2 linked regions of the Anolis sagrei genome follow. The protein of the gene in region 2 purifies or fractionates together with the protein of the main gene of each other region. This does not show direct contact. Links are inferred from orthologs where the notes say so. Each region holds a gene or a part of one and is shown on either strand. Other genes may lie near its edges.

The links. Proteins that work in one complex are often made in the same cells at the same time.
Region 1: the proteins of MCM7 (region 2) and CDC6 purify together in Homo sapiens (affinity purification with western blotting; 3 studies listed by BioGRID). This does not show direct contact. The link is inferred for Anolis sagrei from reciprocal best matches to the Homo sapiens genes MCM7 and CDC6.

The regions. Positions count from the first base shown.
Region 1 is NC_090026.1:40,191,118-40,199,420, reverse strand, and holds the start of CDC6 (cell division control protein 6 homolog), read left to right. Parts: upstream 1-5,090; 5' UTR 5,091-5,178; intron 5,179-7,819; 5' UTR 7,820-7,827; coding exon 7,828-8,014; intron 8,015-8,303. UniProt on the Homo sapiens protein: Involved in the initiation of DNA replication. Also participates in checkpoint controls that ensure DNA replication is completed before mitosis is initiated.
Region 2 is NC_090024.1:246,954,589-246,962,546, forward strand, and holds the start of MCM7 (DNA replication licensing factor MCM7), read right to left. Parts: upstream 3,509-7,958; 5' UTR 3,410-3,508; coding exon 3,352-3,409; intron 3,265-3,351; coding exon 3,167-3,264; intron 3,089-3,166; coding exon 2,924-3,088; intron 1,790-2,923; coding exon 1,650-1,789; intron 1,034-1,649; coding exon 853-1,033; intron 1-852. Other genes in the region: AP4M1 (AP-4 complex subunit mu-1), read left to right, coding at 4,984-5,041, 6,831-6,916, 6,997-7,109. UniProt on the Homo sapiens protein: Acts as a component of the MCM2-7 complex (MCM complex) which is the replicative helicase essential for 'once per cell cycle' DNA replication initiation and elongation in eukaryotic cells.

The DNA of each region.
Region 1 (8,303 bases), on a different chromosome or scaffold from region 2:
AACACCTGTCCTGTTTTGTTATCGTAAATAGTAATACAGGATAAGCATTTTATATATATATATATATATATATATATATATATATATATATATATATATATATTCCTCTCTGAACAAACACCAAGGAATGGCATTCCAAGATACCAATTTTGTAACACTTTATATAATATCTGTAGCTGCTCTTTTGAGATTGTTGAGATTAAGTCAGACTGTAACTTGGACATACATCTTTATAGAGCTAAAGTTTCTGGTTTCAAAAATGTTCTACAAATTTAGATTCTTGGTCCAAGCGGGCATGGACAGACTTTGGCCCTTGAAGTTCCACGATTCCTAATAATGATAATAATAATAATAATAATAATAATAATAATAATAATAATCTTTATTTAATACCCCGCCACCATCTCCCCAATGGGGACTCAGGACAGCTTACACGAGGCCAAGCCCAACAGCATATTACAATAAAGTAAAACCAAAACAGAATAACAACATAGTAAAATACATACAACATATGAGTGCAATGACGATAAAGCAAAATCATACACAGTAAAATGACAAAGCATAACAATGAGCGGGGCCGCATGTGCAAGATAAAAATTAAGATATTAAAAATACTAAAATCAGGATGAGATGGGGATGGAGCAGATTGCTTGTGGGGGAGAAACTCGTAAAGGAACGGGGTCATAAATATAGATCTTCATACAGGTGGGGAATATACTCTGGGGACAAAAACCGTTGAGAAGGAGCAACTGTGTATGATAATATGACTACTCTACAAAACCGCTGGTAGGCTGTTGGGAACTGTGGGAGTTGAAGTCCAAAATACCTGGATGGCCGAAGTTTGCCCATGCCTGGTCTAAAGGATAAAATTTAAATATCTACAAGCCTTTAGATGTGAAATGCCCCCAAGACAGATTGCATTTTGTCATGTACATTTAGAGAACCTGCCACAAGTGGCTTTTAAATTGGTGCTGTGTGCCATTGTAGACCATGTTCTAATGTCCTGGGTGCAACTCTTCTTCCAGAAAGTGTGGGCTTTAAAAAACAGCATCTAGCCCCCCTGTATTATATAGAAATTCTTGGAAATGCAGACTGGTGGAATAAATGGCTGGGTAAATTGTATTGTATTGTTGGTCCTTGGAAAGGCCTGCACAGTTCTTTCATTTCATGGTTAACGAAAGTAAAATACATTATTCAGAACAGTAAATGCAAAAACAGAATTTATGTGAAATCACACAAACTGGCTTAATTTGAATGACATACAGGCTGCAGAAATCCACATTTCATGCGATGAGGGTTAGAACTACCCTGGTTGAGTTTTTTGTAGTGCGAGTTATAGGCATGTGCTGCAAATGAATGGCGAAACAGTATGAATGTGCCAGGGAACAAGTATCTGTGGTAGAGTGTATGTGATTGAATGGCAAGTTCTTCAAGCTTCACTCACTGTGCCTTACCCTTAAATGAGATGTGTGTGTTATGTTTTGGAGCAGGGGAATCACTTTCTCAACATGCAGTCTCCCCTAAGCTTGTATACACTGTATTTGCTGACTTTGATGCTTTTAACACTAACATTATCTTTGACTAGAGAACACTATTAGTCATGTTTCTCCAAGAACCAGAATATGGATCACATGCAACTAGGAATTCTCTTGATAAGGTATTTGGGAAGCTTTTGTCTTCTAAATCTCCTTTACAATGTTTTTGCTGCAGATAAATTGGCCACAAAGATTTTGTGCAAGCCTCACTCCCACAAACTGAGCTACCAACATGAGCACAGATGGTTTTCCTGTTGGGATCCTTGTATGAATAGAGCACATGACTGGTTTTATACTAAATACCTCCTTCCTAATTTTTTCCCTTAGTGGCACCTGCACATTTCTTTTAAAGTTCATTGTCAGCGGGTAGAAATTTAAGATGCAAGTGAACAGAAAAGATGTGTGCAGTTAGGCAGCAGTGAGTAGCTGTGTTGCAAAGATAGAAGTGCACTGGTTACAGCTCTGAGCAGAATATGTAGATTTTGATAATCTGCATCTCTTTCTCCTGAGTCTATATACCATTCATCACAATCTTACCTTTATTTCTAGTTAACATATTACTAGCTTCCATTGATCTTACACCAATGATATCTGCAAAACCTCTAGAAAATCTGGTTGAAGAGAGGAAAGAGGGGACTTCATTTTCACTCCTTACCTATTATGTTTGATGGTGCCTCTTTTATTGATTCACTATTTTGGAAAAACACTGTACCTAACCCACAGTAAGTGATGCTGTCTCTACTGAAAATGTAACTGCATCCATTGATGCACAATCAAATCTATGTCCATGATCTAATAAATTAATCAAATGCAAATGGTGTCCTCCTAATTTGTTTTCTGCCTCCAAGATCAATACGCTTTTAGTGAATGTATACCTTCAGTTGTGTGCCTTCAAATAATTTCCAACTTAAGGTAGCCATATTTTCCTGGCAAGGTTCATTTAGAGCAGTGGTTCTCAACCTGGGGGTCGCGACCCTCAGGGGGTCATTGGGCCATTTTCTGGGGGTCGTGAAGCCACCTCGGTTGGCCCGCCCCCTCCTGGCTCAGAAGGATCGATGGGAAGGCTCCCTGCATTGCTTGGCCCTCTGAGGAGCCTTTGCCACATGGCCCTCGCTCCCTGCTGGGCTCGGAAGAGGCACGAGGGTCAAGGGGAAGGCTCGCCATGTGGCCTAGCCGACTAGGGAGACTTTGCCACTCGGTCCTCGCCTCCTCGCCTCAGAAGGGGCGAGGGACAAGGGGATCCACTCGGCCCTCACCCCCTGTTTGGCTTGGAAGGGTCAAGGGGAAGGCTCCCCATGCGGCTTGGCTGACCGGGAAGCCTTTGCCACTCGGCCCTCAACCCCTGCTGGGTTCGGAAGGAGCGAGGGTTGAGGGGAAGGCTCCCTGCTCGGACTGGCTCTCGCTACCCAAGTTTGATCCAGGTCCATCATCGGTGGAGGCCGGTTTCTCTGGTTGTGAGTGAACTACAACTCCCAGAAACAAAGGTTAGCCTTCCAGTAATCAACTGTAAGCATATCAGCTATGTGTTCCAAATTTGGTTCCATTTCATTGTTGTTAGAATTCAAAATGCTCTTTGTTGGCAGGGGAACTATACATCCCAGCAACTTCCAACTCCCAAATGCCAAGGTCTATTTTCCCCAAGCCTCTCCAGTATTTTCTGTTCGTCATGGGAGTTCTGTATGCCAAGTTTGCTTCAATTCAATTCTTGTTGGAGTTCAGAATGCTCTTGGTTCGCAGAGGAACTATACATCCCAGCAACTTCAACTCCCAAATGTCAAGATCTATTTTCACCAAACTCCACCAGTCTTAAAATTTGGGCATATTGAGTATTTGTGCCAAGTTGGGTTCATAGTGCTCTCCGGATATAGAACTAGATCTCCCGTAAATTGCTGTCAATTCCTCCCAAACTCCTGCAGTATTTTTTATTGGTCATTGGGGTTCTGTGTGCCAAGTTTGGTCCAGGTCTGTAATTCATGGGGATTTCAGTGGTCTGTGGAAGTCAGAGCTGCATCAGTTGAAGGTACTGCAGATCCCATTATCTGTTGTCCATACTCCCCCGAACATTTTGTTTTTGTGATTAGTCACTACGCTTTAATTATGTTCAGTTTGTAACTATGAAAATACATCCTGCATGTCAGATATTTACATTACAATTCATAACAGTAGCAAAATTATGGTTGGGGGTCACCACAACATGAGGAACTTTGTTTAGGGGTCATGGCATTAGAAAGCTTGAGAATCATTGCTGTAAATAAATAAATATAGATAATAATTACATCAATATTAATATAAAATAAGTATATTGCTAGTAACATATTATATATATATATATATATATATATATATATATATATATATATTGCTAGTAACATTATTAGTAGAAATAATAGCCAAATCTGGGGAGCTCCAATGGATACACCCCTTTCACTCCATTCATTCTCGGAAAGCCCCGCCCCCTTTAACTTCTCGACCAATTCTTCCCTGGCAAGCCCCGCCCCTTAATTCCTCAGCCAATCATTCCTCTTCCGAGAAGGGAAGCTCCAATGGATGCACTTCTTTTGCTCCAGTCAGCCTTGGAAAGCCCAGCCGCCAGTAGCTGCTCAGGACACGCCCCTTTCAGCGATTGCTTCCCGCTCTGGGGAGCCCCGCCCACTAATGCCTCAGCCAATCCGTCCCTGGCAAGCCCCGCCCCCGTGTTTTCGACTGACGCGCGCCGAGAGTTCTTCTCAGCTGGTTGTTTTCCTCGGTGCATTTGGAACCCATTCTCAGCAGCCGGAGTCCATTCACGCTTTTGGGAATTATGGGAATTGAAGTTCAAAGCACCTGGAGGGAGGACCAGAGTTTGGGCATGCCTATGAGACAGCTGGGAATTCTGGGAGTCCAAAGCTACAAAGTGGAATCCATGACATGAGAGTGTGGAGAAGAGCAAACCACTGACCACGTACTACAATGCAACCTGAGCCCTGCCACATGCACAATGGAGGACCTTCTTGCATCAACACCAGAGGCACTCCCAAGTGGCCAGATACTGGTCAAAGGACATTTAATAGAATGCAAAGTCTGCAAACTTTGTGTTTTGTTTGTCTGTTTGATTTTAATACAACTGTTTTGGTTCGCTCCTGACACGATAAATAAACCTTCAAGGACTATGAGGCCCATTAGAATAGGTCAGCATAGCTTCAAGGACTATGAAGCGAGAATCAGCGTAATTTAAAGGATTCTAATGCCCATCGAGCCGGATCAACATAACTTCAAGAATTCTATGGCACAGCAGGCTTAATAGTTTTTTTTTAAATCAGGCTGGTTAGAGTTGAAGGAAGTTGCAGTTTGATTGACACGTGGAAGACCACGCACGTGCCCCCTCCCCGTTCTAAAGCGCTTAACCTGAACGTTCTAACCGGAAGCCAGGTCCTGGCTCTGACACTGCCCATGAGAAGACGAAGAAGCCTATGAGAGGTTTGGGTTTGGCGCGAAAAGCGGCGATTGGCTGGGAGGAGGCGGAGCGCGCGCTCCGGGGAACCAATGGGAGAGCTCGAGCGGACGGCTGGCGCGCGCGCGCGAGAGCCGGCAGATGCAATTGTCATATCAGAAGGAAGGAGATAGTGAAGAGTTTGGCGCGGTTTCCCTGAGAAGAAAACTGAAGGTAATTGGAATGCAGTTTTACCCCACTTTAATTGCCATTCATATGCTTTAAAACAGCTGTATTTGTGCAATATATTACTGTCATAATAGAGGAAGACAACTTATGTTGTAGACCAACTTTATAATATTGCTAATATTATAACGACTTCTTTACTGAATGAGAAAACTTGGGGTTTCTGTTTACGTTTTCCCCAAACTGGTTATTACTCAATACTCATGAAACCTCCATGTATGGATGGCCAAAATGCTGAATGCTGGAGATTTGGAACAAGCAATAATAAGATATTATAGTTATATATTTATATTGGATGGTATCCTTGAAGTGACTGGATTGACCTTGAAAGAGCTGGGGGTGGTGACGGCCGACAGGGAGCTCTGGCGTGGGCTGGTCCATGAAGTCACAAAGAGTCTGAAACGAATGAACATTATATGTAATATTACTAATAATATCATAATGTAATGGTATAGTACAATATAGTAATATTTAATACTGATATTGTACTATGCTAATAATATAATATATTGTATGTATATATATCTTGTAAGCCACTCTGAGTCCCCTTCAGGGTGAGAAGGGCAGCATATAAATGTCATAATAAAAAAATAAATAAATCACCTATATCAGGCATCTTCAAACTGTGGTCCTCCAGCTATTTGGGCCTTCAGCTCCCAGAATTCCTGGCAATTGAACAAACTCGATAGGGCTTCAGGGAGTTGGGGGCCCAAACAGCTGGAGGGCCACAGTTTGAGGATGCCTGACCTATATAATGTCCTGATTAAACAAATGTTTGGGTCATGATAATGTCTGACCAGCGTAGAATGGAAGTACATATGTTTACAGGTATCCCTCAGTTAACAGGTCTTCTGGCAAAGATATTTCTACAACTTTTTTGCATGCGTCACACCTTTTCCTCATCCTCTGTCTTGTTTTAGTAGCATTGGCATGGAGCCCCCAGTGGCGCAGTGGGTTAAACCCCTGTGCCGGCAGGACTGAAGACCAACAGGTCGAATCTGGGGAGAGGCGGATGAGCTCCCTCTATCAGCTCCAGCTCCTCATGCGGGGACATGAGAGAAGCCTCCCACAAGGATGATAAAAACATTAAAAAAAATCATCCAGACATCCCCTGGGCAACGTCCTTGCAGACGGCCAATTCTCTCACACCAGGAGTTACTCCTGACACGACAAAAAGCATTGGCATTGGGATAATGATTGTGATGAAGGGCACTGAGAAACATTCAACATCAGGTTGTAGCAATGTGTCTTTATTGCAATAAATCAGAGGTCTTCAGACTTTTAAAACAGAGGGTTCACAGTCCCACAGACTGTTGAGGGTTGGAATATAGCTTGAAAACAACATGAACGAATTCGTGTGCACACTGTACAAATAACCCATGAAAGAACAATAAAGTATTGAAAATGAAGATCAGTTTTATCCAACATAAACTTACCAGTATTTGAATGGGAAGTGTGAGCATGTTTTTGGCTGATGAGTCTATTTATTTATTTATTTATTTACTTATTTATTTATTTACGGTATTTATATTCTGCTTTTCTCACCCCTTGGGGGATTCAAAGTGGCTTACACAAATATAACAGCAAAATTAAATGCCTTACATGCATAAACCAAAACTCAAATCGACAACATATAACTAGGCATAAAATCAATAGGACAATTCACCATAAGATAAGATAAAAGGACATTTTAAACATGAAATATAAGAACTAAAACACCTAATAAAAGCATTAAAATCACACTATCCAACAATTAGGATTGTTATTGTTATATGCTTTCAAGTCAATTCAGACTTAGGATGCCCCTCAGTCTAAAGTTTAAGGGGGGGGGGGGGGGGAGAGATAAATGACCTTGGAAGGAAATGAAGAGTTATTGGTTACTGAGATCTTTCCTGAACAAGAAATGGACAGTATTTTGTGCTCCAGCCCAGGCTCAGTATTATTACTAAAGTGCTGGCTTTAGCCTATAAAACCCTAAATGGTTCTGGCCCAGCTTATCTGTCTGAATGCATCTCCCCCTATGAACCACCTCAGAAATTAAGGTCGTCAGGGGAGGCCCTGCTCTCAGTCCCACCTCCTTTTCATGTGCGACTGGTGGGGACGAGAGACAGGACCTTCTCAGTGGTGGCCCCTCAGATGTGGAACTTCCTCCCAGTGACATTAGATCAGCTCCCTTCCTCCCGGCCTTCAGAAGGAAAGTGAAAATGTGGCTTTGGGACCAAGCCTTCGGAGAAGTGCAATAGAAGGATTAGAAGAAGAATATATGCAATGACTATTGGAATAGCCTCAGATTACGATTGTGGATGGTGCAGTTTTAATAATGGTTGCAATGTTTTTAACTATTTTAATGTTCATTGATTTTAATCTTAATTTAAATGTTTATTTTAATTGTATGTTTTTAAGGCATTGAATAGTTGCCTATGTGTAAAGCTGCCCTGAGTCACCTTTGGGGTGCGGGGTATAAATATGATCAATAAATAAATAACTCCTGTAAGACAAAATTATACCTAGGAATAATATAATAGTTGAGATTTAAAAGGTGCTTCATATGCATGTGTCTGAAGCAGAGATTAGTTGTGTATGTTTTAACTTGTATACTGATTCTTTATATGCTTCTTTTTGGTTTTAGTATCCACCATGCCTAGTACCAGATCTAAGTCCCAAACCCAGAAACAGAATAAAATCGACTTTCCTAAGCGGAAATCAACCAGGACCCTTTGCCAGACTCTAGTTAAAGAAGAGGGTTCAAAGTTGAATTCAGCCCCAGTCTCACCACTCTCTTCTAAGAAGCAAGTCTTGCCTCTCAGCCCTCGCAAGCGGCTTGGTGAGTCAAAGTTTTCCAAAGCATCACTGGGCAGTGGCATGTATACATTAGATGTGTTTAAGTCTTCTTCTTGGTGCTAAATCAATATGTGAGGCTTCAAGAAATTATGGTAGAAAGTGGCCGTGTTTTCCAAAACACCACTGGGCGGGTTTTATACTTCAGAAGGTTTCACCTCACTTTCTGTCCCTGTGAGAATTGGATTTTGGGGGGAAAATGGCTTGTTGTGAAAATAAGGATTGACGAGAAAGCTTCAGTGGAGACACCTTTTCCTCATGATAACTCTTTCAGG
Region 2 (7,958 bases):
CCCCCCCCCCGAAATTCTCATGGTGTTCCGCGAGAAGGCCTTCCTGGTACATTATTTAAACTGTTATGTTTATTCATATCATGATCTGATCACCATACTCAATATATCCCATATGCATGATGGGGGTATTGGGGTAATGACACAAAAGGTTTGCTAGGCTAGACCCTCTTTCACTCAGACTCAGCCCCCCCGAAACGAAATCCTGGCTACAGGCCCGGGTCCCAAACACACTGCTTAATACCCTTTGCAAAACATGTTTCTCTGGCCTCCTTCGTGTTAGCTATTCTCACACTCCTTTGAACTCCTCTGGCCTCCTTCCTGTTAGCTATTTTCTCACTCCTTTGAATTCCTCTGGCCTCCTTCCTGTTAGCTATTCTCACACTCCTTCGAACTCCTCCGGCCTCCTTCTTGTTAGCTATTCTCACACTCCTTCGAACTCCTCCGGCCTCCTTCCTGTTAGCTATTTTCTCACTCCTTCGAATTCCTCTGGCCTCCTTCCTGTTAGCTATTCTCACACTCCTTCGAACTCTGAATTCCAAACAGTCAACCCGATCTAAGGTTCCCATTTCATCAAGGTCAGTCTGTTCGTTAGTGTCCGCCTGTTTCCCTGCTTGCTCATTATCAGACTGAGAACTGTCCTCCTTCTCTGAGTCAATCTGCACCTGGCTATTTTCAGTATCAGCACTCTCATGCCTTGCTGTGGGAAAGTGCACTTCTTCACTGTCTATAACAGGGACATTTTGAACCAGGCTGTGAACCTGAGTCACATCATCCTCATCGGAGGCACTCTGTGGTTCCAGCTGAGTCACTCCCTGCCCTCAATCCCCTTTTGCCAGGCTGCCCAAAACTCACCGGCTGGTAGGTCTCCGCCCCGCAGCGGTCGCAGGAGTAGGTGGCCACCACCATCCGGGGCTTGACCTCTGAGGCGCGGGTCACGATGCCCCGGACGGTCACCAGCTTCCCGATGCAGTCGGCCTTCACCTCACGGATCACTCGGGGCTTCATCCCGGAAGGAGCCTTGAAATAGAGCTCGCTGTTGGGGGCACAGGAGGAGCGTGAGAGGGGCAAAACGGGGAGGCTGGAGTTGGAGGTTTTGGAGAAGTTATGATCTTTGCAAAGGCACGACCTTGTTAGAAATCATAATCTTTTGGGAAATGGCATTCATGCAAGACAATTATGTTTTGCAGCTGTTAAAACTGATATACCTAGTTTTTGAACTGTTAGGGACAAAGATATGCCAATGCACAAAAACGTATACATAAATATGTATATCTAGGGCCCTAAGATTATCTGAGGAGACCCTGCTCATTGTCCCCTCATTGTCGCAATCGCGTCTGGCGGGGACAAATGACAGGGCCTTCTCTGTGGTGGCCCCCCGTCTGTGGAACTCCCTCCCGAGTGAAATTAGATCTGCTGAATCCCTCTTGACCTTCCGGAAACAAGTAAAATCCTGGCTATGGGATCAGGCCTTTGGAGAATAGGCTGACTTACTGACGTGTTGACTTATTTAGAACTGATCAAGTGCCCCTGGATAATGATTTAAATTGGTGATGGCTGACTATTTGTTGTCTGTTCTTATAGTTTTATATTGTTTATGGCTTCCCCACCCCTTCCCCCCTGACCCCTCCCCTTTTGTGGGCGGGACTCACAATCTGCGCATGAGCTCTGCGGGGAAGTTGTTCTGTGGGGGGCGGGACTGCGCAGCCCCCCTTTCCCCGCCTCCTCCTCGGCGCCCTTCCAGCAGCAGCCGGTGCTCCAGGTAGACGTCCAGCGCATCCTTGTGCACAATCTAGGCAGAGCGGAAACACAATATTATTAGCCTTCTATATTTTCCTATCTCTGGCATCCTCCTCCATCAGAATTCTGGGAAATGTAGTTCCAGGCTGCGTTTTTTATTTTGCTATTCCCGGCCTAAGAGGGAATGGCAAAGGACTACATTTCCCGGCATCCTCCCCGCTGTGCATCCTGACCTCTCTCTGCTGGAATATCATATTATATGTATAGACAATATATTAAATTATAGAGTATCATATTATGTGTCTATGCAAAATATATTATATTACAGAATATCATATTATGTTTCGATGCAAAATATTATATTAGTGAATATCATATTATGTGTCTTTGCAATTATTATATTACAGAATATCCCATTATGTGTCTATGCAATATATTATTATAATGCCATACTACATATCTATGCAATATATTATAGAATATCATATTGTGTCAATGGAAAAATTATATTTCAGAATATCACGTTATATGTATATGCAATATATTACAGAATATCATATTATGTGTATGCAAAATATTATATTATATTTCAGAATATCATATATGCATATGCAATAATATATATTACAGAATACCATATTACGTATCTATGCAATATACAGGGTTAGTCAAAATGAATAGGCCAATTCGGGTACAATTAATTCTCTTATTGGCCTATTCATTTTGACTAACCCTGCAGATATCACATTATATGTTCATATAATATATATTTCTAAATACCACACGTATATACAATATATAATATATCAGAATATCATATTATATATATATATATATATATATATATATATATATATACACACAACATATATTAGAATATCATATATTTATATACAATATATTATACAGGGTTAGTCAAACTGCATAGGCCAATAAGCCATTCAATTGAATGGCTTATTGGCCTATTCATTTTGACTAACCCTGTATTATAATACAGAATGTCATATTATATTATCAGCATAGCACAGGAGACAAGGGAGAACTTTAGTGTCCTCCCCCCCTAAGAATTCTGGGAAATGTAGTTCCAGGCCGGTTTTTGGTTTTTTGGGGGTCTATTCCCGGCCTAGGAGAGAATGGCAAAAAGACTACATTTCCCAGCACCCCCTTGGTTGTAAGGAGTGCTGACCTCTCTCTGCTTGTAGGCGGGCAGGAGCCGGGCGGCGGCGTCGGCGAAGAGGCGCTGGTAGCGGGGGGCGTTCTCGCAGGCGGCCTCCGCCAAGGCCGGGTCCTCCTCGGCCACGTCGTCCAGGTCCACCCGCAGCGTGGAAGCCTCGCGGTGCGCCAGAAGGGTCTGCCCAGGAAGGGAGAAGGTTAGCAAGGGGTGGGAGCCTCCGGGGAACTCTCCCCGCCGCCTCGGGCACGGACTCACCAGCTGCTCCCGGTAGGGGAAGTGTTTCCCGGCCTGGTCCGAAGGGAGAGAAGAGGAAGAGCTGGAGAAGAATCCCTCCAGGAAGGACGCCGCCTTGTCTGATAGGAAAACAGGAAAAGAAGCGTCAGGCAAAGGGAGAGAGAGGCCTTTCCATCTCCTCCCCGCCGCTTCCTCGCTGCCCTCACCCATCTCGGCGTCGTAGTCCCCGCGTAGGCCCAGCTTCTCGCCTTTTCCCGACGCCATCCTGCCTTCTCTTCTTCTGACTGCTTTTTCCCGCGCGCGGGAAAAGGCGGCGCTGCTCCGATTGGCCGGCTCCACACGACTCAGCCAATCCCCGCCCTCCTTTCTGTCAATCCCCGCCCTCCTTCCTTGTTAGCCACGCCTCCATCTCGCTCTGGCTTTTTCCCGCGCTAGTCAAGATTGACATAATCCGATTGGTCCGCGCGGTTCCATCCCACAGCCAATCCCTGCTCGGGATTGCGCGAAAGGGAGGAGACTCTTCCACAGCTCCCACATACGTGACGCAACACCTCGGAACCAATCCCTGCTCGGCTTTGGAAGTAGAGGGCGGGGACTCGATTCAATAGGCCACGCCTCTATGTGAAGCAACGCCCCGCAGCCAATCCTTGCTTGGCTATGCAGAAAGAGGCGGAGACTTGCTCTTATACAGGCCACGCCTCTACGTGAAGCAACGCCCCGCAGCCAATCCCTGCTCGGCTATGCAAAGAGAGGCGGAGACTTATCCGTATGCAGGCCACGCCTCTCCGTGACGTAAAACCCTCAACCAATCCCAGTTCGTCTTTGAAGGGAAGGGCGGGGAAATTTCTTTATGCAGGCCACGCCTTTACGCCCCGCAGCCAATCCCTGCTCGCGTTTGAAGAGAAGGGCGGGGACTCGTCGTTCTCTAGGCCACGCCTTCAAGTGACGCACAACTCCGCAGCCAATCCTTGCTCGCGTTTGTAGAGAAGGGCAGGGACTCTTCATTCTCTAGGCCACGCCTTTAAGTGACGCAGCACGCCACAGCCAATCCCTGCTCGCCTTTGCAGGCAGGGGCGGGGACTTGCTGTTATACAAACCACGCCTCTACGTGACGCAACACCTTGCAACCAATCACCGCTCACATTTGCAGAGAAGGGCGGAAACTCTTCCTTGTGTAGGCCACGCCTCTACGTGACGCAGCACCTCGCAACCAATCACCGCTCGTCTTTGCAGCGAAGGGAGAAAACTCTTCCTTGTGTAGGCCACGCCTCTACGTGACGCAGCACCACGCAACCAATCACCGCTCGCCTTTGCAGGCGGGGGCGGGGACTTGCCGTTATACAAACCACGCCTCTACGTGACGCAGCACCTCGCAACCAATCACCGCTCGCCTTTGCAGGCGGGGGCGGGGACTTGCCGTTATACAAACCACGCCTCTACGTGACGCGACACCTCGCAACCAATCACCGGTCACATTTGCAGAGAAGGGCGGAAACTCTTCCTTGTGTAGGCCACGCCTTTACGTGACGCGACACCTCGCAACCAATCCCTGCTCGTCTTTGCAGAGAAGGGCGGAAACTCTTCCTTGTGTAGGCCACGCCTCTACGTGACGCTACATTCCTCAACCAATCCCTTCTCCCTTTATCACTGAAGGGTGGAGACTCTTCCTTGTGCAGGCCACGCCTCTAGGTGACGCAGCGCCTGTGAGCCAATCCCAGGCGGGAGGGGCGTGACCTCCCACAGGCCACGCCCCCTCCCTAGTATTTTGCTTCTTCCAGGAAGTAAGGCTAAAGAGAGTGCTCCGGGGCGTGTGCAGAGTGTTTCCTGGAGGGCCGAGGATGATCTCGGAGGTGTTCGTGCTCTCCTCGCAAGGGGACCGGCTCCTCTACAAGGACTGTATCCTTCCTGAAGGGCAGAAGGGGAGAGACTTACTTACTTACTTACTTAGGCGATCCCTCGTTGGACGAGTAAGATGGTCTTCCTTGATGACTATTTTTGTGGGTTTGTAGGTGGCTGTGGAGCCCTCTTCTTGACCCACATCTTCTCCCACAGTGAAGGCATCAGTTTCCAGGTGGAAGGCGGTCCCGGTCGGGGTTGGCTTGACGCGCCTTCCTCCTGGCACGTTTCTCTCTTTCACCCTCCACTCGTGTCTCCTCAAATTCTGCAGCACTGCTGGTCACAGCTGACCTCCAGCTGGAGCGCTCAAGGGCCAGGGCTTCCCAGTTCTCAGTGTCCATGCCAGAGTTTTTAAGGTTGGCTTTAAGCCCATCTTTAAATCTCTTTTCCTGTCCACCAGCATTCCGTTTTCCATTCTTGAGTTCAGAGTAGAGCAACTGCTTTGGGAGACGGTGGTCGGGCATCCGGGCAATGTGGCCAGTCCAGCGGAGTTGGTGGCGGAGAAGCATCACTTCAATGCTGGTGGTCTTTGCTTCTTCCAGCACGCTGACGTTTGTCCGCTTGTCTTCCCAAGAGATTTGCAGGATTTTCCGGAGGCAGCGCTGATTGAATCGTTCCAGGAGTTGCATGTGACGTCTGTAGACAGTCCACGTTTCGCAGGCATAGAGCAGGGTTGGGAGGGGAATAGCTTTATAGACAAGCACCTTGGTATCCCTACGGATGTCCCGGTCCTCGAACACTCTCTGCTTCATTCGGAAAAATGCTGCACTTGCAAAGTTCAGACGGTGTTGCATTTCAGTCTCAATGTTGACATCTGTAGACAGTCCACGTCTCGCAGGCATAGAGCAGGGTTGGGAGGACAGTAGCTTTATAGACAAGCCCCTTGGTCTCCCTACGGATGTCCCAGTTCTCAAACACTCTCTGCTTCATTTGGGAAAATGCTGCACTTGCAAAGCTCAGACGGTGTTGCATTTCAGTCTCAATGTTGACATCTGTAGACAGTCCACATTTCGCAGGCGTATAGCAGGGTTGGGAGGACAATGGCTTTACAGACAAGCACCTTGGTATCCCTACGGATGTCCCGGTCCTCAAACACTCTCTGCTTCATTCGGGAAAATGCTGCACTTGCAAAGCTCAGACGGTGTTGCATTTCAGTCTCAATGTTGACATCTGTAGACAGTCCACATTTCGCAGGCATAGAGCAGGATTGGAAGGACAATAGCTTTATAAACAAGCACCTTGGTATCCCTACGGATGTCCCGGTCCTCAAACACTCTCTGCTTCATTCGGGAAAATGCTGCACTTGCAAAGCTCAGACGGTGTTGCATTTCAGTCTCAATGTTGACATCTGTAGACAGTCCACATTTCGCAGGCATAGAGCAGGGTTGGGAGGACAGTAGCTTTATAGGCAAGCCCCTTGGTCTCCCTATGGATGTCCCGGTCCTCAAACACTCTCTGCTTCATTCGGGAAAATGCTGCACTTGCAGAGCTCAGGCGGTGTTGTATTTTGGCGTCGATGTTGACTTTGGTGGAGAGGTGGCTGCCAAGGGAGCGGAAATGGTCCACATTTCCTAATGTTACACCATTAAGCTGTATCACTGGCATTGGAGAGGGATTGGCTGGTGCCTGCTGGAAAAGCACCTTGGTTTTCTCAATGTTCAGTGAGAGGGCGAGCTTCTCGTATGCTTCTGCGAAGGTGTTTAGAGTGGCTTGTACGTCTTCTTCTGAAGGGGAGGGACAGTGGGGGAGGGCCCTGGTCCCGTTGCCCTCCTTGACCCTCTGCGCACAGTCCGTGGGGAGGGCCACCCCGGCCTCGTGGAGGACTTCTTCCGGAAGGTGACGGCGCTGCCTCCTGACCAGGCCCCGGTCTTCATGGTGAGAAGGGGGTCAAGGCCAAGGGGGAAGCACCGGACGTCACTCACCCTCTGACGTCACACCCTCCCTTTCTCCTGCAGGAGGCGCATCCCCCGGGGCTCCACTTCGCGCATGTGCGTCATGGGGGGCTCTACTTCGTGGCCACCATCCCTTCCAAAGCTTCACCTTTTGCAGCACTGGAGTTCCTCAACAGGTCAGTCGGGGGCGGGGCTTGGAGCTAGGCCACGCCCACTGCACAGCTAGGCCACGCCCCTATGCATGGGACAACTTGGGCCCTCCCTCTCTCCAGGTGTTGTGGACTCCAATTCCTACCTTCCTAACACTTGGAAGGAGGTCCTAAGTTGGCCCATGCCTGGCTAAATCCTACATCAAGGCCAGCTCACACCCCACAACAAAGGATTCCCCCAGGAAGGAAGCAGCCAGGCTTTGAAGGTGCAAGGCTACTCAATGCTAATCAAGCTAGCCAATAGCAACATTCACACTTGGCTCCAACAGATTATAGAGTTCTCTCTTTCTCCCATCCTTGACAACATTCCACAGATATATAGATATATATATATATATATATATATATATATATATATATATATAGGATTCCCCTGGACAGGAAGCAGCCAGACCTTGAGGCTGCAAGGCTACTCAATGTTAATCAAGGTGGCCAGTAGCAACATTCACACTTGCCTCCAACAGATTATAGAGTTCTCTCTTTCTCCCACCTTTGACAACATTCCACACACACACACATATATATAGGATTGCCTCGGGCAGGAAGCAGCCAGGCCTTGAAGGTGTAAGGCTATTCAGTGCTAACCAAGGTGGCCAATAGCAACATTCACACTTGCATCCAACAGACTAGAGTTCTTTCTTTATCTCACCCTGGACATCATTCCATAGATAGATAGGATTTCCTGTGCAGGAAGCAGCCAGACCTTGAAGCTGCAAGGCTATTCTGTGCTAATCAAGGTGATCTATAGCAACATTCACACTCGCCTCCAACAGACGAGAGTTCTTTCTTTCTTTTTCCCACCCTGGACATCATTCC